Linked DNA regions of Oryzias latipes. The protein of the gene in region 1 binds, or shares a complex with, the protein of each later gene. Links are inferred from orthologs where the notes say so. Each region holds a gene or a part of one and is shown on either strand. Other genes may lie near its edges.

What was found.
Region 2: the proteins of prkaa2 (region 1) and 5'-AMP-activated protein kinase subunit beta-2 are in contact, whole or in part, in a crystal structure (PDB 6B2E), measured with the Homo sapiens proteins. The link is inferred for Oryzias latipes from reciprocal best matches to the Homo sapiens genes PRKAA2 and PRKAB2. Residues at the interface, in NP_006243.2 of Homo sapiens: Gly9, Arg10, Val11, Lys12, Ile13, Thr21, Asn48, Arg49, Val58, Gln66, Gln81, Val82, Ile83, Ser84, Thr85, Pro86, Thr87, Asp88, Phe89, Met134, Met164, Ser165, Asp166, Gly167, Glu168, Phe169, Leu189, Ala191, Glu194, Pro253; in NP_005390.1 of Homo sapiens: Val60, Ser61, Gln64, Glu67, Asp68, Ser69, Thr73, Gln74, Ala76, Pro78, Thr79, Val80, Ile81, Arg82, Ile106, Ser108, Val113, Ile115, Val155, Ser158, Asp159, Phe160, Glu161, Phe163, Asp164, Lys167, Leu168, Gln191, Met193, Tyr194.

The regions. Positions count from the first base shown.
Region 1 is NC_019862.2:3,526,339-3,543,356, forward strand, and holds the start of prkaa2 (5'-AMP-activated protein kinase catalytic subunit alpha-2), read left to right. Parts: upstream 1-6,049; 5' UTR 6,050-6,359; coding exon 6,360-6,459; intron 6,460-7,169; coding exon 7,170-7,311; intron 7,312-7,768; coding exon 7,769-7,862; intron 7,863-10,363; coding exon 10,364-10,508; intron 10,509-11,129; coding exon 11,130-11,217; intron 11,218-11,358; coding exon 11,359-11,583; intron 11,584-12,315; coding exon 12,316-12,478; intron 12,479-12,644; coding exon 12,645-12,983; intron 12,984-13,062; coding exon 13,063-13,189; intron 13,190-16,322; coding exon 16,323-16,573; 3' UTR 16,574-17,018. Other genes in the region: plpp3 (phospholipid phosphatase 3), read right to left, coding at 4,673-4,808. UniProt on the Homo sapiens protein: Catalytic subunit of AMP-activated protein kinase (AMPK), an energy sensor protein kinase that plays a key role in regulating cellular energy metabolism.
Region 2 is NC_019875.2:22,976,283-22,992,100, reverse strand, and holds 5'-AMP-activated protein kinase subunit beta-2, read left to right. Parts: upstream 1-1,516; 5' UTR 1,517-1,838; intron 1,839-3,306; 5' UTR 3,307-3,322; coding exon 3,323-3,481; intron 3,482-3,551; coding exon 3,552-3,709; intron 3,710-3,808; coding exon 3,809-3,902; intron 3,903-4,523; coding exon 4,524-4,638; intron 4,639-4,728; coding exon 4,729-4,862; intron 4,863-4,982; coding exon 4,983-5,051; intron 5,052-5,692; coding exon 5,693-5,770; 3' UTR 5,771-6,996; downstream 6,997-15,818. Other genes in the region: pde4dip (myomegalin), read right to left, coding at 9,468-9,595, 11,038-11,092, 11,248-11,294, 12,745-12,883, 12,967-13,101, 13,192-13,403, 13,558-13,659, 13,756-13,992 and 7 more. UniProt on the Homo sapiens protein: Non-catalytic subunit of AMP-activated protein kinase (AMPK), an energy sensor protein kinase that plays a key role in regulating cellular energy metabolism.

The DNA.
Region 1 (17,018 bases):
ACAGATGGAACGGTGGGACAAAAAGCTGGAAGCAACAGAAAACTTCCAATTTGTGTAACTGTGATGCACAGCCTGACATGCAGAACGTCATGAAAGACACTCCTACCCCACTGACTCAAACCTAAGCACAAAGACACATGCAGAAATGAATACTAACAAAAGGTGATTGCAGGGTCCTGCCCAGTAATCCAAAATGATTTATATAAGCAGTCTGAAGGTGTTTAGAAAGGAGATGTGTAATCATACACGAGCTAGGACAGAGACAGCAGAAACAGAGGCTTTACCGCTGCACAGCCGTCAGAGCGAGAAAGCTGTCCTTTTTCTTTACCGTGCAATTTGATGGATTCTCATGGGGAAGACGGGGGCAAAAAAAAAGAGCAGAACGTGTCTGGCCTGCATGGATTAGTTAGTCTGAGTCTTCAGCCTGCTCCCATAACTACATGGGACATCTGCACATGCACTCACACCCAAACATGAACCCACAGACGCCTGGCACATGTTAATGACAGCGCCCCGTCTGCATCACGGACTTCATGAAGCCCACCCCCAGCAGCAAGCCCCCACTTTCAGCTGCAGCAGCAGACAGCCACACTTAACAGTGACTGTTGAAAGTGGAACACACTAACACACATCTATACAAAGACACAGACGTTGCACGTTTTTCATTCTTGGTCAGAAGTTACAGCTGATAGTTTGCTGCTCTGACAGAGCATCCAATTACCTACAGAGACCTTGCCCCACCTTAGCCTGCAGCTACAGGATGCAACTCAACTCCCCAGTCAGGACAGCCACTAAAGCAGCATAACTGTATGTAATCCAGCTGGAAAACACAGCGGACAGGTCGGGTGCACCTTTAGATGTTTTGTCTTTAATGCACCACTCTATAGAGCTCATCAACGTCCTGCCGACTCATGACCCCCTCTTCAAATGTCACACAATGTCCCAATCCTGCACCCCTCCCTGCATGGAGCACCTTGTGTCAGGTGATCAACCTCCTGCTTCCTTTAAGCGAGCTTCACGGAGCAGATCTCTGCTGGAGAACCTTTTCTGTTGCTAAGGCTCTGCTCTCCATGAGGTTTCTGGGTTCTGACCACAGATCTACGTCTGTCCTCAACTATACTGGTGCTGGATCCATTAGTGAGATGGATTTGTGTTTCCCCTAATTTAGTGAAATGTTCTTGAGTGGAGGATTATAATTGCTTGTCTATTTCTCTCTTAGACATTAACCCCCTTTTTTTCTCCTTTCAGATACTTTTGTGTGGAGAAATGCCCTAAATTGTTACGCCTCTCTTTGGACAGCTCATGGACACAATAACTAGGAAGATATCTTCTCTTTGTGCGTTTCCAGAAGCGTTTTATTAAATTCTGTTGCACCGCACCTGAGCAGTGTGTTCTTCTGGTGTCCACTCATTCCACACCCTCACACAGGGCTCAAGAGGACCCACACCGGGACACCGAAGAACACGCTATAACAATTACAACTGCGATTGCTTTAAAAAGACTTTTACTCCCATCACTCATGATCACTGCCTGTCAGGAGGATCCTTGTTGGGTCGCCAGTGAGAATATTTGCTTTTCAATTAAAGGGTTTGTGCTAGAATCCCTCACACTTGTTGTTTGACTAGGATTCCCTTGTAGACGCTTGGCAAACATGAAAACTGCCTGGGACAGCGTGTCAAACATCTTCCATTCAGGGCTACATGGTGGTTAGCACTCTCTCGCCTCACAGCATGAAGCCTCTGGTTCAAATCTCAGCTGAGATCTTCGTGTGTGGAGTTTGTGTGTTTTCCTTGTGCTTGTGTGGGTTTTTCTCTGAGCTTTCCTGATCACCCCACCGTCTGAAAACACGTCATTAGGTTAATTGGTGACCTTAAATTGTGTGTTGTTATCTGTTACTGTGTAGCCCTGCAATGGACCATCCCTGCTGTACCCCAACAGAGACTGGGATGGCCCCCAGAATACACATGACCGCCAGAAGGGATAAAGTTGGATTAGATTTGTCTACATCTGCTTAACAAATTCATTGAACAATAAAGAGAGACTCATTTAGTTATTTTATTATAACTTATCTCTAACGCTCGTCTCCCTTAACAGCTGGAGCAGCTAGAACCATCTCAACGACAGCGGGAGTAAGATGGAAATGCATCACGGGGCAAAAAAAAAACAGGATTTCATTTCACAGTTACACCTACGTCTGACCGAACCCTACCTTTCCATTTCCCACCCTTTCCTGCGCTCCAGCGTGCGCACCCACACACACACACACACACACACACACACGCACACACCCACACACACGCACACACACACACACACACACACACACACGCACACACACACACACACACACAGTGTCCCCTGGTTCACTCCGACTCAGACCAGATGTCTCATAATTCTTTGACCAGATGAAGAATTTGGGACATTCTAGAAAATATTTGTTGAGCGGCTGAAGTGACCGAGGCTTGTGGAGGTTCTAGTCCTCCACTTGAATGAGCAGGCAGACTGCAAAGGCACAGGCAGAAGTAGGCAACAGTTTAATACACAAGCCTTACTCTGATGATGAAAAGCCAGCCGTGTGGCTTTTGCTCCAGGTGTCAATAATATAGATAACCTGACAAAGCGGTTAAATAGAAAACAGCTAGTCTACAGATTGTGTCTCACATGAATTGATGAGGCTTGGGGGGCCTTTAGGATGAACTACTGCAACTGAGTAGTCAAATAAAAAGAGACTCCATGCATCATAAACACAATCTCCTTTTGCACGGTGCAAACCTTTGTTCGAGTTTAGGGGAAACTGCTTTTAGAGGTTTGGTTTGCGGAGGGCCTGAGTGTCTGTGGCTTCACAAAGACCTTTCAGAGGAACTGGACAGTGTTTCAGGAACAGAGGAGTGCAATTCTGCAGCGTGCTGTCAAGTTTGTGTGTGGAGAGCTTGGTGTTTGTGTGAGCGTGTGTCTTATGGCTGCTAAAGCATCTCAGTGAGAGCAGAAGCTGAACTGAGGTGAAAGGAGCACATAATGTTTGTGGTCTGTGTGTGTTTGAGCATTACTGAGCTCCACATTCTGTTCATGTCTCTGTGCTATTAGTGCCTAAAGACGTGAAGCCTCAGGACATCAGACCTTTAGGGAGATGGTCGTGGATTGGGCCGTCCCCCTCTGAACCCCCCCATACGCCCACATTCATCCCCTCAGAATGCTCCAATACCACCCCCCCCTTCACTTCTCATTTGACCCCATTTGCCCACAATCCCGCTAAAGTGGGCCAACCAATAATCATCCAGCAGCCCAGCCAGGCTGTGTTTAGCATAACAAAGTGGAATCTGTGCCCGTTTGGACCTGTGTATTTACATGTATGGCGTGTGTTTACATCCAAATGTCTGCAGCATCAGAAGCGCAGACAGACGTGCAAACGGAAATTGGTTTATTCGCTCCACATGTGCTCAAAGCGCATCTGCATTTATAGGAGCCCAGCTGAGATGCAGCATCGCCGTCTGAGGTTCTTTAACGAGTAGACGTTGCCGCTGTCAGACAGATCCGCTTCCTCCTCACACCATTAAACTGAGTGTGGAGGCAATCTGCAACATTTGCCACAGCAGGGTCACAAAACCCAGTTCCCTCAGACAATTTTCCGTTTTTAAGGCCTCAGCTTCTCAACTTAGAGCTGCTGGTGTCACTCCCACCTGCTCCTCTAAAGCCCGGTCGGCCACAAATCCCACTTTTCAGCCCCTCTCTTCTAAATTGGAGAGGTATTTCCCCCCCCTGCCATGACACATGGGTAAGCTGTTATTCCACACATTCTCCTGGCCAGCCGGAGCTGGGAAGAGAGACAGCAGCCTGACGTGGAGCGCTCGGGGCAGCTGGTCAGGGGTTTGCTGCGTTCCGGGGCAGAGTGGGGAAAAAGTTCTGAACAAAGCAGATGGAGGAGAAAAGGAGAAAAAAAAGCGAGAAACACTTCAGCTCTAAACTGAAAGAGCCGAGCTAGAGTCACAAAACGGCCATCAAAGCCTCGCACACAAACACGCCGGATCGGACCGGGACGCCTGCAGAATAACAAGTCGGCCCAAACACAACTTCAGCTTTGACCGCCCCCTCTGCCCCCCCCCATCTCTATGTATGGGCAGCTCAGCCTGCAAGGCATTGGAGGTTAAAGGTCAGATGAGTGAGGTTATTGGGGCACATGAAGGGGCGTCTTGCTATTTTAGGGGCAGTAAAGGGGCAGGTTCCAACACTTGAAAACATTAGTGCTGAAGGCGTGCTGGCAGGCTGCAGGCAGCGCCGCACTGCTGTGACACTCCATCCGTGAGTGGAACATCTTATTTCAGGATGCCGTCTCAGCTGAGAAAACAGTCCAGTCCCGTCTCCTCTTCACACGGCGAACATGCAGCAGTTGAAATGCTTTTCAGAACAATCAGAAGAATGAATAAACGGATGAACATGGCAGCTGGAACCTGGGTGGGGACTGGACTCGTCTGCATGGGTCGGATGATAACAGGATGCTGCAGCTCCAGTTCTTGAGCTGTCAGAGATGCTGGCCAAACGCTCAGCGTGATAAGGCTTTTATTTGTCAGCCATTATAAACGGTCTCTTATCTGCTGTTTCCAGAGGAAAGTGGGCCAGAAGTTAGACTTTCAGACTGCAGCAGCCAGGAGGAAAGAGGACGCTAGGGACAACTTACCCAGCAGGAGGCAGAAGATGTCAAGCGCCACCAGAAACTTCTTCTTACTGTTCCCAACACCGCTGCTGTTTAACGTCGAGGTTCCACCGTTCCTTGTCTCTTGGGCCATTGCTTTCTCATACATGTACTGTTGCATCGGAAAACTCTCAGTCCGTTCTCAGCTCAGAGTCCCACAGCGCGCAGGAGGAGAAACAGTCCTTCAGTCGATCTGGACGGACCCACAACAACAAGTCACATGCGGCCGAACGGCACGGAAACTTTGGACTGAGAAAGAATTGGCGCTGCGCATCAAGTGTCCTTCTCGTTATATCAACCCGTCTTCTCCTCCTCCCCCTTCCTCCCTGTAGGTTCTCGCTGCAGCCTCGGCCCTCCTCCTCCCTCCGCTAGCGGTGGGTAATCGCCCCCATCCCATAGTTCCGACACTGTCTGCGAAGAAAGGGGGGGCAACATACCCCCCTGTGGCCATGCGCGGTACTACAGGCGCACTGCTGAGAGCTGCGCGCTCCGGAGCGCTCCTATAGCAGTTCACAGTCACCCCAGTTCACCGGGACGCACGCACAACAGGGTCAGAGTGCGTGTGAGCGTGCGTGTGGGTTAAAAAGCAAAATAAATCTTCATTCAGTCGAAGCTATTTGCTTTGCTGCAGTTTCTTTTCTCCCGTTGTATCTTTTAAATACACTATGGTGTGGATAAAAACTCCAAATTTGATAACTAATTATGACATTTAATTAGGTACCATACATTCTTATACTGGTGTTTTAGTGGATACGACTCGCGCAAGTCATCTTATTTATTTATATAAATGTAACTTTCATGGCTAAAACAGTCCAGCAAATATCGAGTATATACTGCCATCTTCTGGCCAAATAGGAGAACTTCACTCTCTTTGGGCAGGAGTGAAAAGGGAGTTTTTAATTAGTTTAAGTGCGAAATTTCACAGTTTCACTCAGTTAGTTAAAAACATAATTAGGCCAACAAATAACAAAATTAGTTTTCGGAATCTTCTTTCACCATTTCATCCAAAGTAACATATTTGAAAGCATATATAAAGTTTTTTCATCTAAATGTAAATAAATACATAGTTATACAAGCCATGCGATGGGACAGACGGTGTAATTGGATTTTAGAAGAGCATAACAGCAGGGGGAATGTCTGGAACAGACGTTTGACCTTGAACGCAGCACTGGTTGAGCCTTTCACTCCACTATAAATGAGCCACATGTAGTTCAAATCTGTGGTTTGTTCCTAAACAAATGTAGAATTACTTCAACAGATATCAATGAGAAAGAAAGGACTTCAGGATGTGTCATTTGACTTGAAGCAGTAAAAGAAAGCGCAAAGCGCCTTAAGGCTGCATTTAGGTTCCTATTTTTAAAAAGATCAGCACGCGCTAGTCCAAACACTTCCACAGTGACGTAAATGAAGGTCTTTTGCGCTGGTTTTCCTCGTATCTTGGAGTGCCTGAGCTGAGCTCGTGCAGCTTTGTGCCTTCACCACAAGCAAAGCCGTTTTTCACGGAGGGTTAGGGGTTCGCTTCCTGAGAGGAACAACCCGTGGAAGCTCCGCGTGATGCTCGTTTCTTTTTTTCGGACAGCTGGCACCTGACCTCCACCAGACAAGCCGCCTCTCGCGGTCCTCCCGCCCCTCCGCGCGCGCACCGAGCAGCGCGGCCGTCGGTAACGGGAAGATGGCAGAGCGGCAACAGCAGAAGCACGAAGGCAGGGTCAAGATCGGACACTACATCCTCGGCGACACGCTGGGAGTGGGGACGTTTGGCAAAGTGAAGAGTTAAGTGGTGTGTTTGTGTCTGTCTGTGCGTGCGTGCGTGCGTGGCGGGGCTCGGTTCGGAGCGGTTCGCCCTCTGAGTGGACCGCGTGAACTTGACTCGGAGAAGTTAGCGTAGCCGCTCGGTGCTGCGCAGCTAACGGTCGACGTCAGGGGCGTAACTTTGATCTGGGAATGGGGCCGCTTCAAAGTCAAACATGCGCCGCGTGCGCAGCCCCGCGCGCCGCCGGAGCAGGTACCGAGCAGCTGGATGGGGTCATTTCTGAAGCCGTTCCGGCCCAATAATAGGGGGGTTGCCCGTCTGTGATAAAACACCCCCCCCTTCCCCCGCCCAGATCGGCGGCTAGGGTTCTCCTGGTTCGGTGTCCGGAGCGCCCAGGTCAACCCAACAGAACCGCTACCGTACAGAGCTTTCACGGCCAACCCGCGTTTGCTTTGGTTCTGGTGGTCTCACCGTCAAAAGAAAGGTGGACTTGAAGCATTTTTCCCATGAGTCCCATCCCCTCCTTCTCTCTGGGGGGTCATGTGAAAGGAGAGCCCACCTCAGATCTGGATTCACGTGGCTGTCTGGGCTTTGAAACAGGCAGAGAGAAAGTTACAGGTCGTTGGACCATCAGGACAAGCAGAACTGATCCTAACAAGGTTTTTATCCTTCCAGCTCCCTTTGCTCTGTGGTCTAAAAGGCCTGTCTGTCCCCTCATGTCTGCTGCAGTTGGAGAGCATCAGCTGACTGGACATAAAGTGGCCGTGAAGATCCTGAACAGACAGAGGATCCGAAGCCTCGATGTTGTGGGAAAGATCAAACGGGAGATCCAGAACCTCAAACTCTTCAGACACCCGCACATCATCAAGCTGTAAGTGGTCCCTCTAAGACTTCAAGCGGCTGCTGGAATGAAGGCCTGCTCGGCTTCAGCTCTTGGCGTTTTTGTCTCTGTTGGACACCGCGGCGGCTGCTCTTTGAAGAGCTCGCTCACACACTTCACAAGCTGGACCACACACTCAGTGCCCTCCTGTTTACACGCTGCCTTCAATCCTCCTCCATGCCTCTTGTATTTTTCTGGAAGAATGTTGTCCTACTTTTCATTGTGAAGCGTTGTGAGCGGGGATCTTTAGGCCACACCCGATCGTCTGAAGGCTCAGGTGACCCGTGCAGCACCTGCAGAAACATTCCCCACATTTTTAGTGTTGTAGTGCTCTGTGTGGGGCTCAGATTGAGTTGTGTTGTACACATTCTCCGACCCTTGTGTGTGATTCAGGAAGACTAAATAACATTGAGCGACAACAACAATGAGGCCTCTGCTTTTGTTCCAGATACCAGGTAATCAGTACTCCAACAGATTTCTTCATGGTGATGGAGTACGTGTCTGGAGGGGAGCTGTTTGACTACATCTGCAAAAATGGGCGGGTGAGGCTTTTCCATCCTCCGTCTGTGTTCATCTGCTGTTCAAGTGATGTCCTAGCTGCCATTTGACCCTGGACTTCAGAGATCCGTCATCCTAATTCATAACTAGAAGGATCTGCATTTCCAGAAGAAAATGGGGTTGAATGCTATATTGCTGAATGAAAATGAAACTTAAAGGGTAATAATTGGCAAAAAAAAATAAAAGAAAGAAATGATCAAAGTAGACCATAATTAAAGGGAAAACAGCACAATAGCAAAAAAGATGACTTGTGAAAAACGCCAGCGAGATTCTGCACCAAGGATTCCCCATGTATTTCAATGGAGGCAAAAATCCTGGAATATCTTGAAAAGTTCAAGGATTTAAAGGACTAAAAGTCATAGCTGGAAAAAGCTGAAAGGCCTGAATAGTTCAATGAATAAAACAGCGGAAAAATTGTAGGAATTAAGCGACAAAATATGGCGGAAGATACTATAATAAAGAAAAAAGAGAAACAGGAAAACAATGGGTTGAATAATTTATAGCACTCAACCTACTAGGAGACTTTGTGGTTTCGTGATCCCAGTCATATCAGACACATCAATTTAACTTTGATGCTGTTTTGGTTTAATCATAGTTTGTCTTTAAATATCAGCCTCCATGGCTTTTATTTTCAGAGCTGCACACATAAAACCATGATCCGACAGTTTTCTCTATCTGTTTATTTAGAATTTTAGTCCTTTTTTTTTCTCAAGCTCTTGCTTTTCTGTTTCCCTGTCAACACTGTGTAACCCTTGTGCTATAGGCACTTAAACGTTGGGAGTTGGGTCATCTAGACCCACTAGACAGTGCTCTGAACCTTTTTTCTTCAATGATTTGTGATCTTCACTGGTGTCCATGGATTACATGAAATCTTTCCACCTTTATCCACCTTTGTCATGGTAGGGAGAACACGTCAATGGAAGGGGGGGGGGGGTCATCTAAGATAACAGAAGGGTTAATCACGTCTCGGTTCTCAGAAGTTCTCAGTTAAAACCCAACTATAGCCCATCCTATTGCAGCCTTTCAGAGCAATTCCCGGGCTTCAACAGTACCAGACAAAACACCGGAATTTCCACAACATTTATACCTAAGAAAGTCCTAAAAATTTCAAATGAAAGCTTGGTGGTTGAGGCCAAATGACAGACATTCACACATGTTGGAAATTAACTTGAGAATATAAAACAAAAAAACAAAGGCATGAATAAAATCTGGGCTCAAACAGGACAGCTTCAAAAAAACTCAAGAAAACAAAAACATGACGAAAAGGATTTGTATCTGAAATCAAAGACTACACTGAGGTTGTAACACCGGATGGGAAAACAAGAGTGAAGATCCAGAACAGCAGGGTGGAACAAGACGTAAGCAAACAGATGAAATGCACGAAAGCTTAAAGTAAGAAATACCTGAGAACAAAATTTGAAGACGTCTTCACAACAGCTTCTATTTCTAATTTATGTACCGAGGTGACCCTTTACCCAAACAGATGGAGAAGGTGACGGTCATTTCCTGTTGATAGTTCTCTGCACTTTCCCGAAGTGACTCCTAATACAGCGTTTCCTCGTTTATTGTGGGGCTTACGTTCTTAAAACAACCCGCAAGAGGGGAAATCCGTGAAGTAGAACTGCAGTCAGTAAAACTCCTCACAACACTTTCCACAATTTAGTCCAGAGGTGTCAAACTCATTTTCACTGAGGGCCACATCAGCATAGCGGCTGTCCTCAAACGGCCAGATATGACTTATACATGTCACTAAATGTAATGAAAAAAAAACATGTTTGCTTGTTACTCTTTCATAAATTCTTTTACATTTGATTCTGTCAGGTTAGGTTATATGGACAGTGTTTAAGTCCTAATGTATAGTTGCCCAATCCGTTATTTCAAGTCCAATTCCTCATAGATGTGAATAAACACAAACAAATTTTTATTTTTATTTTAAGAATTTGAAAACTTTTATGCTCTCGCGGGCCACAGAAAATGACATGGAGGGCCACATTTGGCCCCGGGCCTTGAGTTTGACACATGTGCTTTAGTCAGACAGACATGAACATTTTCACACTTTTCTCTCTTATTCAAACTCTCAAAGTTCAAATCTTCATAGAAGATAAAGTCTAGTATTATAGATCTGATTGCAATCAAAGATTTATGTCGATTTGGAAGGTTGAACACATTCTGTACAGGAGACACGGCCATGAGGAGATTGATTGACAAGGTCTACAGCCAATCAGGACACAGAACACTGTGTACTAGCGTTTGCATGCCAGCCCTAGTACACAGTGTTCTGTGTCCTGATTGGCTCTAAACCTTGTCAGAACACAGCGCACTAGGGTTGGCATGCAAAATTGTAATGAAAACTATCAGCGAGACGGTGAAAGGTGAATATAGATTATATATAGCGAGGGAACACTGTATCACCACGGTAACAGTAGGGTTGCACATTCTCTCCAAACCACACAGTAACCATCTTCCTTGACATTGTGTCTTTAAGGTGGAGGACCCAGAAGCTCGGCGTCTTTTCCAGCAGATCATTTCAGCCGTGGACTACTGCCACCGGCACATGGTGGTGCACAGAGACCTCAAACCTGAGAACGTCTTGCTTGATGCCAATAAAAATGCCAAAATTGCAGACTTTGGTAGGTTTTCCAGAGATGAACCTCAGCTGTGTGCTACTTGCCTCGGGTGGAAAGCAACATGGTGTACTTATAAGGGTAAAAAAATAAATCAATATAAAGTTTCACTCATCGGTTTGGGTTTTATTTATGTTTCCTTCTTAAAACAAAATTCCTGCTGCAATCCGACCAAGAAAGAGAAAAATAATTTCATAGGCACACAAGAGCTCAGTTGGCGGGTGTTATGGGTGAAGCGGCGTCCCTTGGTAATGTGTAGGTCTCATATCAAGTCTGGCAGGAAGCCTGAGGCCCAGTGTCATCTGATAGGAAATGAATAGGGGGAGTGCTGCAGGAGAAGTGTTTGGCTGAGAGCAAAAAGGCAGCAGATAGAAAGAGAAGGAAGAGATGAGGAAGAAAAGATAACGTGAAGGTCAGAGAGGCTCAGATTGGCTGCTGTTTAATGTTTGGCAGCAACCGGAACAGAAAGACAGCCTCATCCAATTAGAAGGGCTTTATGTCTAGAGCTTAGAGTCTTGGCAGGTTGAAGAGGATAAAGATCTCAGCAGGGCTTGAAATCACGTTGAAAAGTATCCACCACAGTTTTTATCACACAAAAGCAAGTTGTGATGTGTCATTGACCAACAGGACTGTCCAACATGATGTCAGACGGGGAATTCCTGCGAACAAGCTGCGGCTCACCAAACTATGCAGCTCCAGAGGTCATCTCCGGAAGGTGAGTCCGTGCAGAAAAGGAGAACAGTGGTTGGTGTTGTTCTTTTCACGCTAAAAGTTGTCATTGTTAGTGAGAAATCAGGGGAACTCTTTACTTGCAGCACTCATGCTGTTCTACTGCCCCTTCTGTTACCTCTTCCAGGCTGTACGCAGGCCCGGAGGTGGACATCTGGAGCTGCGGGGTGATCCTGTACGCCCTGCTGTGTGGCACCCTGCCCTTTGACGATGAGCATGTTCCCACACTGTTTAAGAAGATCAGAGGAGGCGTTTTTTACATGCCAGAGTACCTGACCCGCTCTGTGGCCTCACTGCTAATGCTCATGCTACAGGTGGATCCGCTGAAAAGAGCCACCATCAAAGACATCAGGTACTAACCCCAGTCCAGAGCTCTGCAGAAACACACATTGCTGTGGATTGAAGCACTCTGTGGTTGGCCTACATTGATGTTGCTGCTGCATTACCAACAGTTTAGCTATTATTCAAATGAATTTCCGTTCAAGCCTAGATGACCTAAATTATTACCTTTAGATGATCTCAGTAAGCAGACAGATTGGTGGTCAATCCATACTCTGTAGCTGATCAGGCACCTCCAGTCACTTTGTTTTCAAAGTTAGGATATCAGGCGTCTTGGAGCTTTGAAAATGTTCAATGAAGATATTTGATCCTTTAGTCTTGGAAATAGTTTTTCAAGCTCTGGAATCAAAAAAGGTTTCTTTACGACTGCAGTCATTATAGTCATGCAAACTCTTCATCCCAACGGTGGGACATTTGCTGATAATAAGTAATGAGTCCAAGGATTTCTGGGCTTACAGCAATGCTGCTTTTAAAAAAATAATGTCTTCCTGTTTTCATAGAGCTGTGGACGACAGAGGGTCGTGAAGACCAACGTTCAAGCTCCCACGTTTGTCTTATTGTGTTTGCTTTTGTTCCAGCCACTACAGAAGATCAGTTCTTTGGGGTTTTGGAAGTAAAGCAAGAAATAATAATTTAATAAACTCACAGAAACATCAGACTGAGGCTCGGGGCTGTCCGCTCTTTCCCCTGTAGGGTAACACAGGGTATTGCGGTTGAGCTGACTGTTCCTCTTGTGCTTTGTTAGGGAACATGATTGGTTTAAGCAGGACCTGCCAGGTTACCTGTTCCCGGAGGACTCGTCGTACGATTGCACTGTGTTGGATGAGGAAGCTGTTCGAGAAGTGTGTGAGAAGTTTGAATGCACAGACTCTGAAGTGGTGTCCAGCCTCTACAGTGGAGATCCACAGGTACTGACAAACATCAGGACTGTTTTTCAGAATTCACAGTAGTCTTTAGCTAAAGCTCCGACATCATTTCTAGTATTTTATGCTTGCAGTTGCACGCTGTAGGATGTCACATCTGAAGAAATGTCTTATCTTGTCTTCATTGTTCCTCCTCCTCCTGTTCACACAGGATCAGTTAGCGGTGGCGTATCACCTCATCATAGATAATCGACGCATCATGACGCAGGCCAGCGAGTTCTACTTGGCATCCAGTCCTCCACAGGGCTCTTTTATAGAGGAGGGTATGCCATTGCCCCCTGGGGTCAAACCCCACCCAGAGAGGATGCCTCCACTTATGGCTGACAGCCCCAAGTCTCGATGTCCTCTGGATGCTCTCAACACCACCCGGCCTAAACCGCTAGCAGTGAAGAAAGCCAAGTGGCACCTGGGGATCAGGAGTCAGAGCAGACCCCATGACATCATGACGGAGGTGTACCGGGCTATGAGGCAACTCGCTTTTGACTGGAAGGTAACGACATAAGCTCTACACACAGAGGTTTGTGCAGTAAACATGTGGCTCTGCAAATATGCCTGTTCTTGTGTGTCAGGTGGTGAACCCATACCATCTGCGTGTGCGGAGGAAGAACCCAGTGACGGGAAACCTGGTGAAAATGAGCCTGCAGCTCTACCAAGTGGATAACAGATCCTACCTCCTTGACTTCAAAAGCATTGATGGTTGGTGACAGATCAAACGTAGTTCAGTTCCCTTTAAATGTGCAAAGCTGCAACACTTACAGTCTTTCTGTGACTCAGTCCTGTAACCAGCATGTTTGTGAGTATGTAGTTTACAGTTTACCACAAGATGGCAGAATTTGGTGCTTTTGAGAGACCAGTCTGGGTAAATGCAGAGTTTTTTTCAGGAAGAGCATCCAAATCAAATCATACCAACAGAACTTTCGGTGTTGGATTGTTGAGGGCCGGGTTAACAACGACTGCCAGCAATGCTGTGTGCTGGTGAAAACTGGACTACTGTTAGTGGAAGAAGGACAGGAGGAAGGCGGGTTTGTAGGCAGAGAGAAAAGGAAAGAAAGGAGTGAAGATCTCAGAACCTTCACAGGAAAACGAGAGTCGAGGGAGGAGCGCACAAGTTGATCACATTTTGGACAGATGTAATCTGAACAAGACCAGAGTCTGCAAAGTGGTGGCAGTGGGGGGTGTAGCCAGACTGTTGAGGATGGTGGTGGGAGGATGAGTCTGGCGGTGAGGAAGACGAAGAGGACATGAGCAGAGCAGATGACCAAGTGGTGGAAGATGAAATAGGAAGAATGCATGTGAGATGAGACGAGAGATGGAAGGGTTTGCAGCAGGTGAGGAGGATGACGGACAGAGAAGGAAATGTGGTGACAGGTTCTACTAGTGTGATGGAAAGATGGGAGGAGAACGTCGATGAGCTGATGAATGAAGAAAATGTTAGAGAGCAGAGGAAAAGAGGAGGAAGTACCAAGGATCAGTAAGGAGGATGTGAAGAAGACATTGAAGAGGATGAAGAGTGGAAATACAGTTGGTCCTCACAACACACCTGTGGAGGTATGGACGTGCTCAGGAGAGGTTGTCTGAGGAATGAAGCAGAAATCTTCTGATGGATGGAAGGACCAGAAGAAAGAAGGGAGATGCGCAGAGTTGTGAAAACTACAGAGGAGTAAAGATGATGAGTCACAATAAAGTTATAGGAAGAGAAGGGGAAGCTAGACTGAGGTCAGAAGTGAACATTTGTGAGCAGCAGTTTGGTTTCATCGCAAGGAGAACAACCCAAATGCAATATTTGCTTTGAGGATTTGAGGAACAACAGAGAAGGTCAGAAGGAACTGCATCTTGTCTTTTTTGAGCGGGGCTTAAAAGTATTTAGTCAGCTACCAATTGTGCAAGTTCTCCCACTTAAAAAGATTACAGAGGCCTGTCATTTTTTAAGGACAAAATGAGAAGAAAATAATCCAGAAAATCACATTGTCTGATTTTATAAAGAATGTATTTTTAAATTATGGTGGAAAATAAGTATTGGGTCAATTAGAAAAGTACATCTCAATACTTTGTTACATACCTTTGTTGGGAATGACAGCATTCAAACGTTTACTGTAAGTCTTCACAAGGTTTTCACAAACCTTTGCTGGTATTCTGGTCCATTCCTCCATGCAGATCTCCTCTAGAGCAGTGATGTTCTGGGGCTGTCACTGGGCAACACAGACTTTCAACTCCCTCCAAAGATTTTCTATGGGGTTGAGATCTAGAGACTGACTAGAACTCTCCAGGACCTTGAAATGCTTCTTACAAACCCTGTCCTTCATTATCTGGTCAGCGTATTTGGGATCGTTGTCACACTGAAAGACCCAGCCACGTTTCCTTTTTAATGCTCTTGTTGATGGAAGGAGGTTTTTTTACTCAGAATCTGATGATACATGGCCCCATTCATTCTTTCCTTTACAGTGATCAGTCGTCCTGGTCCCTTTGCTGAGAAACAGCCCCAAAGCATGATGTTTCCACCCCCATGCTTTACAGTGGGTATGGGGTTCTTTGGATGCAACTCAGCATCCTTTCTCCAGTAAAATCAGTCTGCGGTTCCCAATGGTTACATTTTAAAGTTAAAAGCAACTTAAAAAATATTAAGGGTTTTTCAAAACAAAATGCAATCTATTTAAGCTGATGTTGCTTCATTTACAGAACATTCTCAACTCTCAACATCTAATGTTCTGATGCACTAACAGCAAGTCCTTCTTTTTTAAATATTAAGCTCCTAGAGTTCTTACTAACAGTTCTATTTGGGTTTCATCTGACCATAGGACATTCTCTCAATCCTCTCCTGGATCCTCCAAATGCTCTCTAACAAACGTTAGACGGTTCTGCACATGTACTGGCTTTAGCAGGGGGACACGTCTGGCCCTGCAGGGTTTGAGTCCCTGGTGGTGTAGTGTGTTACTGATGATAGTCTTTGTAACATTGGTCCCAGCTCTCTGCAGGTCATTCACTAGGTCCCCCCTGTGGTTCTGGGATTTTTACTCACTGTTCTTGTGATCACTTTGACCCCACGGGGTGAGATCTTGGGGGGAGCCCCAGATGGAGGGAGACCATCAGTGGTCTTGTCTGTCTTCCATTTCCTAATAATTGCTCTCACAGGTGATTTCTTCACACCTGTTGCAGATTCAGTCTCCCAGCCTGGTGCAGCTCAACAGTTTGGTTTCTGGTGTCCTTAGACAGCTCTTTGGTTTGGAGTGGAGTTTGGAGTGTGACTGTTTGAGGTTGTGGACAGGTGTCTTTATATAGATAACCAGTTCAAACAGGTGTCATTAATACAGGTAATGAGTGGAGGACAGAGGATCCTCCCACAGAAGAAGTTACAGATCTGTCAGAACCAGAGGTCTTGCTTTGTTGGTGACCAAATACTTATTTTTCAAGCATAATTTACAAATAAGTTCTTTAAAAATCAGACAATGTGATTTTCCGGATTTCTTTTTTCTCATTTTGTCTCTCATAGTTGAGGTTTACCTATGATGAAAATTACTCTCTCATCTATTTACGTGGGAGACCTTTCACAATTGGGGGCTGACTGAATACTTTTTTGGTCCACTGTTGATCTGGCGAAAGTCTTGAACAGGATAAGATGCAAAGAGGACACAGATTCATTACATCCTGAGCAGCTGATTTCTTTTAAAGGTCTTTGCAAAAGTGGCTTTGAAAAGTTGGAAAGAGTTCCTGCGATGTTTGTATTTAGTCACTTACAGGCCAGATTCATAGTTTGATTTAAAAATGCTTGGATTATTACTACAGAAGGCTTGGAAGTCCCTAATAAAATGCTCCTCTATGTTGTGACCTTCAGATGACATCCTGGAAGCAGTGGGCTTTAAATCGGGGTCGTCCACTCCTCAGAGGTCCGGCTCCACTGCAGGTCTCCACAGACCCAGGCTGAGCATTGACTTTGCAAGCCCAGCCAACGATGTGCCTCAGCTTAGCTCCTCCCTCCCGGGATCGCTGTCCGGCATTTCCCCCCTCCTCTCCCCGCGGCAGGGATCGCACACCATGGACTTCTTTGAAATGTGTGCCAGTCTGATCACCACGCTTGCGCGCTGAGGTGTGTTGACCTTTGCTGTCAGCAGAATGTTGGGTTGAAAGTATCTGCCGATCTGGGAGGTGGAGAACTAAATGTAGTGTTTGTATAGCGTGCAGAAAGGAAAGAGGGAGACAAACGGTCATTTTTTTGTGTCAATACTATTGTTCGGTCTGAGAAAACAGAGCCTGAGATCCCACTCTGCTCATGATGTCACTGAAGCAGAGAAGCGTGAAGGAACAGGTCAGTGTCGTGTCAAAAACAACATCTGATGGTAAAACCTGCAGCGGTGTCCACGGCAACACCACTCCATCGGGGGTTTTACTAAAGAAGCTTTGGTTATGTTTCTTATTAGAAAGCTTTAAAAGTGTTGACACACAAGCATCATTTATTCATCACGCAAATAATGCAATTATTTAGGTATCAAATGGTTATTTATTTTTGAAAAAAATTACAAAGTTTGTCCTT
Region 2 (15,818 bases), on another chromosome or scaffold:
GCTGTAAGGATTTAAAGTACTTTGCTTTGCAGTTTAGTCCTGTTAAAAAGATTATACAGAACTATCCATTTTGGTGATTTTAAGTCTGCAAGGCTTTAATGCTAAAAGAAACAATTTATGTATTTTTTCCCCTTTTTTTTCTTCGCCCATATGAATCAGGTTGAAAACGCCTCAATTAGTAACTGCTTTACAGCAAATGTTGACCAATCAGGGCTGTCTGGTCTTTTAAGGAAAGGAGGCTTTTAAAAAATAAAAGTAAGAAAATAGCATCATGAAAAACATATCAGGGGATAATACTGTCATGTATCAATTTTTTTTCTTTTATATTAAAGCATGTAAAAAATTTAGGCAAATAAATTCATGAATATCAAAAATGAACATCAGAAATATGGTCTTTCGTTAAAATTTAAAAATGAGTGACAGAATAAAAGTGTTTGGACATAAATCCATTGATGTTCTTAACCTGCTGTATCCCTTTCGGGGTCACAGAGTCCCCAGAGCCTGTCCCAGCTGTTGGGCGAAGGTGGGGTACACCCTGGACTGGTTGCCAGTCGGTAATGGAGCCACACACTCATAGCTACACTAAGGGACACTTTAGACTCACCAATTAACCTATAAAGCATATTTTCGGACTTTAGCATGAAGCCAGGGTGCCTGGAGAAAACCCACACAGAAAGGTCCCAGCTGGTATTTGGACAAGGACCTTCTCGCTGTGAACTAAGAGCACTCACCGCCACAGTACAGCCCTGGACAGAAATACGCTCACTAAAAAATAAACAAAATTCAATTTCTCAGTTAATGTTGTAACTTAAACTTTTTAAAACATTTTATAAACACCCGCAACCAAAGCAGTTGTGATGTGATAGGTGAGCTGATATTGTAGTAACAAATTGCTGGGGAGGGGGGGGGGAATCACACCTTATCATTTCCACAATGTCATTTAAATCATTTTGTTTACCTTGATGGAAAAAAAGCTATGATAGAATGAAAAATGCCAGGGATGTCAACTCAGCTGTTTTACCTAAAATACAGTGTATTAAATTAAGTAATTACAACCCCCCTAAATAATTAATCACTTTGAATCGAGAGTACACATAGACAACAATACATATTAAAATGAATGAGAAACACTTATGCTCATTGCATTAACGTCATTAAATGACTTAAGTAACACAATAATTTGTATTTTTTTATGCAAATTAGGGTAAATCTTTTTTTTATTAAATAAATAGTATACTTGATACATCTATATGTTACATTTTATAGTATAAAAATGTCTTTTAATTTCATTTCATTTTATTTGTAAAAAAAAATTACATTGACTAAATTGTACATTATTTGGATAATTTTACTACAACCACTATTAAGAAGAGACACGACACCAAATAAAGAATTAATTACATTTATTTAAGTATTTGTAAAATTTCATAAAAATGTTTTTTTTTTTGTTTGTTTGTTTACCGGATGTTGTTTTTGTCGCGGCTGACTGCTTTTTTTCCTTTACCGACCGCCGTAGTTGTAAAAAGGGGAGGATCTTCGCTGGTGTCACAGACTTTCCTGCTGCTCTTCAACACAAATCATCGCCTCAGCAGCGATAGGCCGAGCTTCTAACCCTTTTCGGTTCTTTTAAATGACTAAAAACAACAACAAGTACTCTATCAAATTAGTTAAATTGTTTTAGTTGTTATTTACACAGTGAAAGGAGTTCCCGGTTCGAAAGCAGAGTGACAGCTAGCTAGCTGCTAGCTGACTTTAACAGCGACCAGCAGCTAAAAATATTCACCAGGACAGTCGCGAGGTAGGCGGGCACAGCAAAAGCGTCCTGCGCAGTTACCACGGTAGGTTACAAATAGTGTGTTTTGTCATACGAACTAAGCTTTTTATTGATTCGCAAGTCATTCGGTTGTAGTTAAAGCAGATTTTCGAAGGGACCCATCTGTGTCCAGGGAAGTTCACTGATAGTTCATGATGCTAAAAATACCTTCTAAACGTGGGTAGGTTAGCTGTTGTGAATATTTTTATTTTCTTTATAATCTAAAGATAAACGTATCGTTGTTTTCCACATCATTAGGCTGTTTTGTTTTTTGATTGATTTATTTTTAAATATGACTCTGGATCATCCTTAGTTCTAAGAAGAAAAAAACAACAATCACAACTGATGATTTGATGTTTTTTATAGCTATAACTTTAACTCTCACGAGTAACACAATTTTAGTTTATTTTCTGTAAAACCAGAGTGTGACATATGTGAATGTCACACAATGTGACATAAAGCGAAATAGGATTTGCTGTTTGTTGACTAAAGCCAAGGCTGATCAGTGTTCCATGAATCCAGCAGTGTCACGGTGAACCCACCAGTCTACAGTGTTCAGCAAACACCTGCGCCTTTGTAGTAAATAGAAGCTTTTGTGCCCTGAGCTTTTAGTTTTTTCTTTTTTAATTTGATCGTTTATCTATGTTGTTCACTGAAACCTCCTACTATTTTATCCTTTAAAATTAAGACATCTTAGCTTGTAAACTAATTTGAAGTGATGGACTTGATTATAGTGTGAAAGGTTTATACTGCTCATTTCTATGTAGGGGGAGGGGGGATCAGTGTCTCTGTGGGGACGTAAAAGGTGATGCTTGTGAAAACAAGCACCATCATGTGATCAAAATTCAATTAGAAGTTGTATTCTCTTTTAGGTTTTTAGTAAAAAGTACATTTTACTATGATTATTATAGAATAGTTGCATGTCGTTAACTTAAACCAATCTTATCAATGTTTTATGATACAATATTTTTTAAAAAGCTTACTTTGGTACTTAAGCAATTTTTGCCTAACATTACTTTCTTGTAATTTCTTAGTAATATGAAACAAAAGTTATCCTAGAGTTCGCTTAAATCAGATCATCTTTACAGAGTTCACTTTTTTTTTAGCAAGGGAGTTGAAGTCAGTCTGGCTCTTTACTTGGTTCAAATTAATAACTGAAAAAGGAAAAATAAGGAGAGGAAAAACTGTCACCAGATGCATTTACATGCCCTTAAGAAACCGAGTGAAACTGTGTTTACAGAATAGTTTCAAGTTTGTTTTTTGGCATTAATCTGCTCAGTGAAAAACAAGTTTTTCAGAAAAGACTTACATTGTAAACTGTTTGAAAAGACGACAAAAATCCTCTATGAAAGCAGAAAATAATAGAAAGCATCTGATAAATATGAATAATAAATATCCTCAATGCAAACATGAATGAACATTTGTCATAAAAGTGTTATAAATAATGGTTTAGTTCCCACTTCAAGAGTTTCTCCCCCCTATATTTTGCACAGTAAGCAGTGAAGCATCATGGGTAACACAAGTGACAGGGTATCTGGAGATCGGCATGGAAACAAGGCCCATCGTTCCGACAGCAGCGGCAGCCACAAAGACCAGGAGCACAGCACCAAGATGGTGGACAGCACAGATGATCCCAACATCTTCAACACCTATGGACCTGAGTCTAAAGTAGGAATCCAACTACTTCACTATATAATCTCATTTCTTTCATATTATAAATATTTATGTTTGCTGTTAGGGGCTAGGAGATAAAGAATTCACCCCGGATCTGGATGACCTGGTGAAAACTGCCTCCCAGGCCCGTCCCACAGTGATTCGCTGGGGTGGTGGGGGGAAGGAGGTTTATATCGCAGGCTCTTTCAATAACTGGAACACTAAGATTCCACTGAATAAAAGGTAAACCGTTGGTTTTACATCAGTTATACTGGTGTCGAATGTGTTTTGAAGTTTTGTCATCGTTTTAATATTGTTTGCTTTTTCTTTCCCTCCTCAAAGCCATAATGACTTTGTTGCCATTTTGGACCTGCCTGAAGGAGAGCACCAGTATAAGTTTTTCGTGGATGGACAGTGGGTTCATGATCCTTCAGAGGTACCCGAGTCATTTTTCTGTGCTTGTAGTTTTTGTGGAAAAAAGTTTGAGCTCTGCTGGTTTCTGGGTTGCAGTCAACATCAAAACCTAAAGGATTAACTGAAAGCGTTAACAAGCTAATTTGCTGGCAACAAGTCATCTTAACTGAATATGAAGTAACATGGTTGAAGCAATAGGAAATGTTTTCTTGGAGTATAAGTCAGTAAGAACAGATTTTAAGCTTGGCATTGGTCAAAACTTGTCAACTAACCCATCTAAAACAGATTGGACAGGATGGTTCTGTATGTTTTATAATTTCATTTTTAATTGTTTTTTTTTACCCCTTATTCATGCAAATATTCATTAAACAACTTCTGCTTCAAACTTACCTTAATCTAGCATCAACTTAAAAAGCACAAGCATTAGTGAAATTGTTGGGAATAAATTGGGCCGTCAGGGGGTTAAGTCTGTAAAGCACTTTGTTTCACTGTAGAATGAAAAGTGCTTTATAAATAAAGTTAATTTGTGTGTTTGGTCTCTTCATTTAGCATTTGGTGCTTGTCATAGCAGTTGTGTTTTTTTTTAAGGTGTTAATGTTTGACATGTTAGATGATTAACTTCAGGATCGTTGCTGTTTTGCAGCCGGTGGTAACCAGCCAGCTGGGAACGATCAACAACCTGATCCAGGTGAAGAAGTCTGACTTTGAGGTGTTTGACGCGCTGCAGGTGGACTCCCTGGAGTGCTCGGACACATCAGGTGCGTCTCCTGTGATAGATCTTGTTCTCTTGCTGCTCGCCTAAATAGATTGGTACATTTTCGGCCTTGAACACATCTTCATGTCTCCAGACTTGTCCAGCTCGCCTCCAGGTCCGTACGGACAAGAGCAGTACATCTTCAGACCCGAAAAGCACTTCAAAGCCCCTCCGATTCTCCCCCCTCACCTGCTTCAAGTCATTCTTAACAAGGACACCAACATATCAGTCAGTGTTTTACGTTTTCTCAGTGATTCATCCTTTTACTGTCAATTCCGTCTGCTTCCATGTTGCTGTTGTTTCTCTGAACAATAATCTTTGTGTTTTTTTTTGGTCTCTGCACTTCAGTGTGACCCTGCTCTGCTGCCTGAACCCAACCACGTCATGCTAAATCACCTTTACGCTCTCTCAATAAAGGTACATTCACTGTTACAATGTTGCTTTTAGACAGAATTTTCCATTTAAATTGGAAAATATATATATATTTTTTATCTGCCTCTTTGCCTCATCTTTTTAGTTTTCCTCAGTGTCGCTGAGTTGAATTTTGATCGTGACAGTTTTGGTTCTAGTTTGTCTTCATTTAATTAGCCCTGGACTGCAAGGACCTGATTGTTTTTACAGTTCTTCTTTCTTACTGCATGTTTTGGTGAAAATGTCACCCCTGCCACATTCTCAAAAACTCCCCAAACTTTGCACACGACACCTCCACCTCCAAAAAATGATGACATGACAGCAGGCGAAACTGTCAAAAAATGAAAGGAGGCAAAAAAAAAAAATCAACAAAACCAAAACACACGAGTCGGGGCTATCCAAAGGAAGTTTTGAAATTATTATTGGATGGCCACAGAACCATGAGGAGTATGAAATTAGGCGTTTTAAGTCTGCTACCCAAACCAAAGTGTTGTTGACCTTTGACCTTGAAAAGAGGCAGCTTTTTTATATTTTCCACAAAAAAATGGGCGGACGATGCAGTTTTAACTTTGTATTATTTTTGCAATTTCTTTTCTTCCAGAGTTGCAGCTCTTGAACCCTTTTGTTTTTTTTTTTCTTCTGTGTAGGATGGAGTGATGGTGCTAAGTGCTACTCACAGATACAAGAAGAAGTATGTCACCTCTCTGCTGTACAAACCCATCTAACCCGTCTTCAGATGCTCAGAGAGAGCAGCGTGTTCGTTTTCTTTTCAGTTTGCCATCACTTATAGACAGGAGTTGCACTGAAACATGTTTACAGGCTGCTCCAAAGAAAGCCGCACTTCTACACAGGGCTCTGAACAACGGTACAGGGTGTGGGGTTTTGGTAAAAGAAGACAACTCTACTACGGCTTTAGCTGGTGACATCTCCTTGCCGATGAGCCTGATTAAATCACTGCGTGGTGTTTGTATGTTTTCACATTTGATTGTGTGATTGTAGTTTTTAGATGACAGTAAACGGTCTGTTTTTTTTGTTGTTTCTGCTGCGTTTGCGTTGTTACTTTTTTTATGTCGCTCGCTGAATGTAAACAGAACGACAGGTGACCTTTTGTTAAGGTGAAGTGCAATAGTGGGTCATGAAATCATCTGTGAATTCTGTTTGAGCCAAAGGCTTGTATTCCTGTTTTTGTTTTGGCAGCCGTGATGCCCAGCTTAGTCCAGAGCTACAGTTGTAGCCATTTCTTTTTCTTTTTCACTAGTAGCTCTTTTTTTTCCACACAGGAAGTGGTCTAAAGTCTTTGCTTAGCTGCTGCTTTTATTCTGATGAATGTTTGTAAGCATTATCGTTGATACAAGCTATAACTATGCAGTAAGTAGCCTTTGCATTGTATTGTCTTCCATCTAATTAGTGTGTTCTCACATTTGTCTGCTTTGTTAAAGAAAAACTATCGTACTGTATCTGTGTGTTACACGTGTGGAGCTGCTTAAAGGTCTGTCTGCGCTCACATTTCAGTTTCATAGATGTTGTGAATACATTGATGTTGAGAAATGAAGAGAACCTAGGAGAGCTTTGATGATGACTGGTTGCCATTTATTTAAATTTTATATGTAAGACACACCCGTGTTTTGGTTCTGAGCTGCTGGTTCCTGCGTATGAATGCTCACAACTCTTCAAACATCAAGGAGAATCTCTCGGAGGTATGTTAGAGTATTCTGTGAATGTTAAGCCGGGCTTTTATTTTCTAAAAGCTCGGCTTTATTTTTTAAAACTAAGATTTGATAAAGGAGTTTGGAAAAGAGCCATGGATCCAGGGCTTTTAGGGCTAAAACCAAAACTTGAATTTTGCAGCTATACTTGATAAATCTATGAAAATGCTTAGCATAAACAATGTGGTAATCCTCTATAGAAGATTGTACTGTACTGCAAATAAATACACTACTCTGATCCTAATGCCACTCTCTTGGTCATTTCTTTTTCAATGAAACAGATTTTCCAAATGGTTGTTTCTAAAGTGCAGCTCTGGTAAAGGGTTTGTGGAAGTGATGGTCTTTTGTGGCATGTACTTCCCTGAATTAATGCTCAAACTTTGTTTAGCAACAATGCAACTAGTTAAAATCTAAAAGATTGAAACTTAAATCAATGAGAAATGAAACGAGAAAACAACTTTTTCAACTGTTTTATTCTCTCAAAGGCCTTGATTTCTAAGACAACACACCAAAATTAGCATTCATGTGTCTTGCATCAGCTCTCGCAGCCTAAAAAGCTTTATATACATATGCAACTTCAAACCAATCAAACATTTCAAATGGTTTTCTTCCCTTTATTTTTATTTTTTAGAAACAAATAGTAAAAAGTTTTTGTTTGTATTTAACAAGGTGACATTTCTCTGTCATTCAGAAGCTGGCTTTTTAGTTTTAGAAGTCACCACATAATGTAACGTTAATTGATTCAAATACTTGGTCTCATTCAAATGCAAATAAAGCCTAATGCGGTAAAACTTGAGGCCATTTGAACCACTGAAGCTGAAGAAGCTCTAAGACTAAATTCTGAAGGCAGGCCAACCAATTTTATTCGGAGCTATAAATGATTGCTGTCATATATGGGTATATATATCATAAAGGCATATTTGTGGAGATCACACATAACCTACTTGACTAAATATCGATCATAAGTGTCAGAATCTATTGAGAAACACTGCAGGCGAGCAGCAAACACGCAGATGTTTTTTATCCACGTGAGCACTTTTTGTTTTCAGCTATTGCACGGCTACCCAGATGATCAACTTTGCAAAAAGCAAATGTTGAATGTTCACAAACACGCTCACAAAACCCCTACAGAAAAAGCAGGTTATTTACAGCGCAGAATGCCAAGTGTACAGCCAACAAACAAATAAAGAAAAACAAAATACAGACCTAATGATCAGCCTGCCAAAGTTTGCATCATTTTGCCATTGCCATGGGAATGCTATGAAGGCCTGAACCAAGAGAAGATAACAGCAAGACAAAAGCATTTGGCCTCGTGGCTAAAAAGTTCGCTTGAGTTGAGTTTTGGTCCAAAAAAGAAATGGAGCTCGTCTTTCTAAAAAGTTCCAAATGTCCTGATTGATTTGGTTGTCCAAACGGTTACCGTCTCTGTGGTTCTAAAGGCCCTCATAAAAGACACCTTGGTAACCCTGCGGTTGATCCACTCTGGGCTTTATGGATAAGGCAAAGTCAGAGTGAGGAGTTTAGAGGTCAAACTTTGGCAAGAATTTGCAATCTCATCTTCAATAGCTTAGACTTCCAGCGAAACACTCTGTCATGCATTGAAATAAACACAGCAGCAATACTGGGCGTGTCCACATCATGACGGAGTGTAAATAATAATCCAGTAACTGTCAAAGATCCAAAATGAACATAGAAACATCATTATTGCACATGCTCAAATGAGAACTCCTACACAGGAGTGGGTACGCGTGTTTAGCCTGGCTCCACCTGTGTACTGCTATATTTTATGGTGTTGTGTTTGTTTAGCTTGATAATATTCAAGACTGGATTTTTGTTCACAATAAAGCCTCTCAACAATCAAAATAAAGTAACTTAAAGGAACCCTTCCCTGGTTTTAATGGGTCTTGGCTACTGCTAACTCATCAATCATAGGATTCCTCAACAAAAACAGACACATCAACTACTTACCTGCCTATTGTACATTCTTCCACTGTGTATAATACTATTAATAATAACAATACAGATGTCAGTTTTTTTGCATTGCATTTTCAAAAAGATGTAAGGAAAAGTGCCACAAAGCATGAGGTTGCACTTCTGTGGCAGTCATGTGAGTCTTGTCTTTGGGTGAGCAGTGTTTGATCTCTCACTCACACACAAAGTGTGTGCACATGTGTGCAGAATCTCTCTCAAGAGCCTTTTTTTAACATGCACAAACATCCGTTCTGTCCACAAACTGTCTGACTCTCAGGGGAGGGGCGTCTTTAGACACAGATAAAGGGTCTATGACAGAGCCTCGGCCAACAGGAGTTGACCACTTTTTATTTTTAACGATGGTGTACGTATCTGTGTTTTAGAAGTGGTTCTTGTAAAACGCCCCCCTGTTCTGTGGAAAACCACGCTGAGAGTCCACGATTAAGGACACACTTCACTGAAACCTCTGTAGGCACATTTCCATGAACCTTCTGTCACACACACTACATGGTAAACGGCTGACTGCGTCACCCAAAGACAAACGCACAGGGTGGAAGGTAGAGAGTCGCAAACAGGTAAGGCTCAATGTGCTGATAAAACTGTGCGCATACTGCCCATAAAAAAGAGGTAAGGTGAGTGTGGGCAGGCAGTCATGAGGAGGGAAGGCTGGTGAATGGGATGGCTTACAGGGTCTTGGCTAATTTATCACAGAGGTCAGAGGTGCTGAGGCTGCGTATGTCAACATCTACAGCAGACATTGGCTGCTGCGCTTCCTCGCCGTCAGGCGGTTGCTGGCTGCTCCGCAAACACCACCGGACTTCAGGTCACCCCGACCAGCAGGCCGCTCTCTGGATACACTTGGTGGGTCTTTAGCTGGACAAGGGCAGAAAAGGGCTGTGAAACCCGGAAACAAAGATGCATAGGGAGGTAATATTTCCTAATGAATAGCTTGACATTTTGAGTAACATATGTATTTGCTTTTGAATTAAACATGTGATGGTGGAATCCTACAATTCATACAAAACATAGAGGCTGTGTCAGAATTCCCTCACTACACCCTAAAAGACTAAACAGTGCGTAACTATCTAATGCCCTGGATTTTACTGTAATGTGGACACATGCTCACAACTTTTGTTTTTTTTTTAAACGCCACCAATTTGCTGAAGTAAAAACCTACTAAATAGGAAAGATTTTTCATGAATTCACTGTGTTCTGATGATGAAAACCTGCATAATTACAAAGAAAATACATTTAAATACTTAAAAAAAAAACAAAAAAAACAAATAACTCCAACCCATTGCATTGATGTTTATACTTGCTGATGCAGTGAGCACCAATGCACACTAATGTCTAGGGCAATGGATTTTGGACACCCTGACAAAATGACAATAGCACTATAAAGTGCACTAAGTAGAGTGTGAATTCAGACACAACCATAGAGTAAAAGTACATTTTGTCTTAATAAAATATTTTCCAAAACAGCATTCCTATATTCTTTTTTTTTATTTCTCATAAAAATGATTTAACAGCTCGTTTAAGTGAGCAAGCATTTAAACTAGACCTAAAATTTGGTCTCATAGTACTTTACTTTGAAGTTACAGTCAATTTGATGTAATGTTAATATCAGCAAACATATTTTACTAATATGAAGTATACTGAAACAAATATAGGAATAAAATGTACTTACTAAAATTTTAAAAACAGGATAGACAATATAGTCTTTTTGTTTCTCAAAATGTCACGCAATTCGTTTATAAATAGCACAACAGCAAGGACTCATTTGCATCTGGCTGCACCTACTGGCACACTACTGTGAGCTCAGCTCTGAATGAGAGATCGAACAGCAAGCGGCAGCCCTCAAACCTCCTATGATGGTTCCTTTGCTCTGCCTCATAGTGTGACTGCATGAAGCTTTTCATGGAAGCGCTATTTCTAAAGGTTACAGCTTTTTTTAGTTTGTCACACATCCAAATCTAATAATGTGTGAAGCTTTAAATAGATTATGTTTGATATTAAGGGCGAGCACCAGTGAATGGCACGGATAGAGGTTTTATTTGACAGCTGTCAAAAACTCTAAGTATATTTGCTGTTATGAAACGATGTCTGTTTGTGTCTGATGGTATTAGCCCCCTCTTATATCTGACATACTTTACTTTTTAAATGTTACTTTGCTAAAGCAGGAATGATGAGTGAAGATGGAATTCTCTTTAGGAAGTGATGCAAAATGTCAGGATGGTTAGCTGAAGCAGGTAGAAGCCGCCTCACACACGAATGTGAGGAAATGAAAACAGAACCTGGCAAGACTTGACAATTACCAGCATAGGGAGAGGAAGAGGAGGAGCTAAGAGAAGAAAGTCTCTGCTCATTCTTCTGGGGGTGGGGGTGGGGGTTTTAGAGGAAAGAAGGGAGAAGTAAGACACTGAACGGATGACAACAAGACTCAACACCACATGGTCCAGAGAAACATCCGGCTGATGTGTGCAGACGGGGATCTAGCTGGACGTTCATGTGAAGCGTTTGGTTACCTCAAGATTTGTCCTTGCTTTTTTCAGCACATCACGAGTCCTTGACACTGCAAAAACAAAAAGGAGAAACAGTATTTGTTCGTGTAACTGTGTTGCTTTTAAAGTTCCATCCTTGGTTCTACATTTTTTAATTTGTACAAGTCTCCGCTTGATGCCATGTCTCCACTTAGGAGACAAGGTATCAACTTTAATAGTTATGCTGATGACACCCTATTATATGTGGCTGTGTCTCCTGATGACATGGGACTTATTAATGACCTTTAAAAGACCCATTCTAATGGAAATTGTGTTTTTGGTGTAGATGTTCTTGTGGCATTTTTTTTAAATGATGGAGGACATATATATAGAAAAGAAAAAGTTAAAATTTGAGTATTTCTTTATTTAAATCATTGTAAATCAGGAGCAGACGGAAAAATGCAGTTGGAAACAGCTTGTAGCTGTGACCTAAAATCTACAATCAGCGGATCACAAGCTCCCTGCGCAGCTCCATTCTGATGCACCCACTTGCAGACAAAGAGATCCATGTACGCCTTCGCTTTCCTCTTATGAGTTGGCATCTGGCTCAAAACTGTACGGCTGGATAGCCCTAATATAGTTCACCATTTTTGTTGCACTGATAATGTTCTGTTGGGTTTGTGAGGGGCTGTAAGCTAGCGGGAGAGCGTGTAAACCGATCGATGATGGGAAATGGATCAAATGATGATTAGAGTGGGACTTTAAATTGTATTTTGTAACTATTGAAACAATTTCAAGCTCAATCAGGACAAAACAAGGATTTTCATTCCTAAGAGAGTGCCCAATTTAACTTATCAGTGCATAATTTGAAAGTCTGCAATAAACCTCAGTATGATTTCAGATGCAGATATTACCTCTTGAAGCACCAACAAACCAAGTTACAAAGACTGCCTTTTATCATTTTAGAAGTATTCCCCAAGTGAGACCCTTTCTCTCCAGAGCCAGGGCCGAAATATTAAACTTTAAAACTTCTGCAATAGATTATTGCAATGCCCTTCTTTCTATGAATCAGCTGCAGCTAGTTCAGAACTCAGAACCAGAAATTTCTATTTCATTTTTATCAGAATTACTTTCAGTTTATGACCCTCCCAGATCCATCAGGTCCAGCTCGGCTCGTGGTGCCAAAGGTCAGAACAAAAGCCCACAGCGAGGCCACATTCCAGCACTGTGGGCTGGAATGATGTGATGCCTTCATCCACGGAAAAAAACTCAAAACACATCCTTTATCTTAGCTTTTATGTAGTTTTCTCATGTTTTAATTTGATTTTATTGACTGTTTTTCTTTGTTTTTTTTATGTTGAATCTGTATGTTTATTGTTTTTTATTTTTAATTGTGATTACTATTTGTACTATTATTTATTTTATGTTAAATTATTTAAGACACAACGTGAAATTTCCTCACTTTTCTATCAGCCCTTGTGATTATTCTGTGGGATGTCACTTTCTCCCACACACACACACACACATGCAGACGGCACTCACACTGGCTGACGATAAAGTGCTCCATGCTCTCCTTGGTGCGGCTGGTGTTCCTCAGCCTCTGGACTGTTCCTTTAATGACCTCATCCTGCTCTGATATTCGCAGTTTCAGGGACAGGATCTCCTCCTGCATGCACTGCTCCTGTACAAACACATATTCATGTTGTTCTGGGCACAACTGAAGCTCATTTACATCACAGAAATGTAAGTAAATGATCTTAAAACCTTCTTCAGATTTAGATCAGAGCTGGGAAGTGCTGCTCTCCAGAACATCTTAAGGAGAGACATCGCCTCCTCTAAGATCTGTCTGAGTGTTCTGGTGTTGGACAGAAGATTTTTCCCCCATCTGTTGTTCAGAGCCTATAAGGAAAGCTTATATGAGTATGATGGGTTTATTTATTGAACTGTAAGATTTCAACAATCATCAATAGGAGTTAAGGAAAACCAAACCAGTTTGCTGCTTTCTTCTTCGCTGCCATCCGGACCAAAGCAGGCCTGCAGGGTTGTCTCCATGCGCTGAACGAGGCTCCGGCCTTCCAGAACTTGCTGCTGCAGGGAGCTGAAATCATCCACATGACCAATAGCGTGGCGGCCATTACGGTTCGCAAACGATCCATCGGGTGCTTCCCCCTCCAGCTCAGAGTGGGGATCGAGGGGGTCTACTGGACGCAACAAGGTTGAAATGAAAAAACAAAAGATTTGTTTTTTTTAAATACGTCATGTATTTTTCAAAAAAACACAAAAGAAGACGATAAAAGCAATGTTTTACAAAGCAAAGCATTAGACAGATCAATCTAAGAAGACAGTTAGTCACACCATTAGCCGTGCTATGGCTGTCATCCAGGTCTGAGTAGGGGGGACCTGGAGATCCACAGTTAAACAGACCAATATCTCTGACTGGTGGCGATGGAGCAGGGTCTGCGGAACACACAGATACACAAGCCAGGCTTGGACACACAGCAAACCACACAACACAAGGTAGACAAGTCTCATGACTGCAAGCCCCTGTCTCACCATGAAGAAGCTGCCGTCTGTAGAAGTTTTCTCTTTGAGGGCTGGCAGAGAGAGCAGAAAGGGATGCAGGTCTGGGTGATGTGACTCCCAGCTTCTGCTCCAGCTGTTTGTGGAGCTCTAGCTGTTTGAGGGCACTGTTCTCCTGGACACTGCTCTGCAGCTGAGCCCGCAGACTCCTCACCTCCACAAGCAACTCCCCCAGCTCCACTGGAAGACCTGCCACCTCGCACAGGTACCCTGAAATATGGGCTTTCATAGTCACACTGCAAAACTTCAACTTTTGTTCACATTTTAAAACTTGGAGAAATTAACAGTTTTTATGTTTTACTTTTATTACCACTTATCTTCCACCAGATGGCGCCAAAGTGTGTTAATCAATTAAATTCTGGTTTTCATTTTGTAACATAATAACATGATGAAGATATAAAAGGTAAAAAGGTGTAAACAGGTTGCTGACTAAAGATGGACTGACCTTTGTTGGCTCTTGTGCTTGAACAAACGCGATCATAAACGTGAAGTTCACTCTGCAGAGAATGGACGAGATCCCTGCTTTCACAAAGCTGCTGCTGCAGCAGCGACACCTCATGCTGCAGCCTGGCAATGCAGAGACATTATGACAGAGTCAAAGCATGTCGGCATATACAGATCCTTCACCTTTGCACCAAACAATAGCAACCTGTTGGTTTTCTCCTGTCCGGCCTGTCGCTCCTGCCTCAGCGTGTGAATCTGCTGGCCCTGTTCTTGACTGTGAGCCTGAAGTCGTCTCAGCTCCTCCTTCCACTGCTCGGCCTCCAGCTCTGCTTGCTTTTGGCGTGTGCGTGCTGTGAACACTGCTTCCCGCAGCTGCACCACCTCCTCACCTGAATCTTAGAGGTAATGGCAGGATAATGAGTTAAAGGGAGATCAAAATCAATACTGTTGAAGATGTCAAATGAAGCACCTGTTCTGGCCTTCAGGCCTGATTGGAGAGCAATATTTTCCTCTTTCAGGACTCTGATCTCATTGGACAGCTGAGTGACTGTGTCCAGTCCCTGAATATAGATGTTTGTTGGTGCTCCTAAAAAAAACATGGTAATTATCCCATTTGAAAGGAGTTTTTTGGCACACCTCTCATGTTGTAGGACGTGTTACCTCTATCGCGTCCAGAGGAGACTAGCTTCTCCTCCAGCTGCAGGCGCAGCGCCTCATTGGTCCTGATGGACTCTTCCAGACGCTGACGCAAGCACCTGACCTCCTGCAGATGCTCCTCTATCAAACTCAAACCTACAAACAAACAGTACTATTATTTTGTAATAGCAGAGGAATATGGGAATGAGTTTCTGAAGGATCATACCTGCTTGGCTGCTTTCTGGTGGATGTCCAGAATAGTTCCCAACAAAGTTCTCTGTATCCCACAGAGGTCTTTGGCCAGAGTCAGACTTCACTGAGTGGTCTTCAGGGATGCCGCCCAGCTGGTACTGTGGAAAGGCATGATGAGATAGGTGGGGGTAGCTTGTGAGGTCATGGCGGTTGTGGGGACTCGGTGAGAAGTTGAACAGAGTCTTCTCATGTGGTACAGCAAGTCCTGTAAAAACAAAAGCAAAAGGTGAGAGACACAATTTAGAGCAGTGAAATAAAAAGAAAAGGAGAGGATTTGTTAGCTCTCTCTGGCCCCTCACCCCTGTGCTGCTCACTCATTTGTCTGTAAAGCGTGTCCAGTTCTGGGCGAACAGCGATGACAGACAGGGCCCTGGGTCGGGGGTCAGAAGGGGCTTCATAACCCCAGACGTCAGGGCCCAGAGGAACAGAGAAGGAGGAGGAGAAACCCAAAAGGGCTGAAGGAAAATGATAAGAAATCAAATAAACAGAAGACAAATGAGGAGGAAGAAGATAAAAAAAAACAGAAAAAAGCTAGTTGATCCCATTCATGAGCTTCATACCTCTAGTGGACTGACTGGTCAGACCCACAGTGGCTGAGCAACGCATGTTGGGACAGCTGCTGGAGGACTTGAGGAAGCAATGAGGAGCAAGAAGAGATGGATGGACTACAGGAGGGAAATGGAAGATGAAGAAAAAGAAGTTTT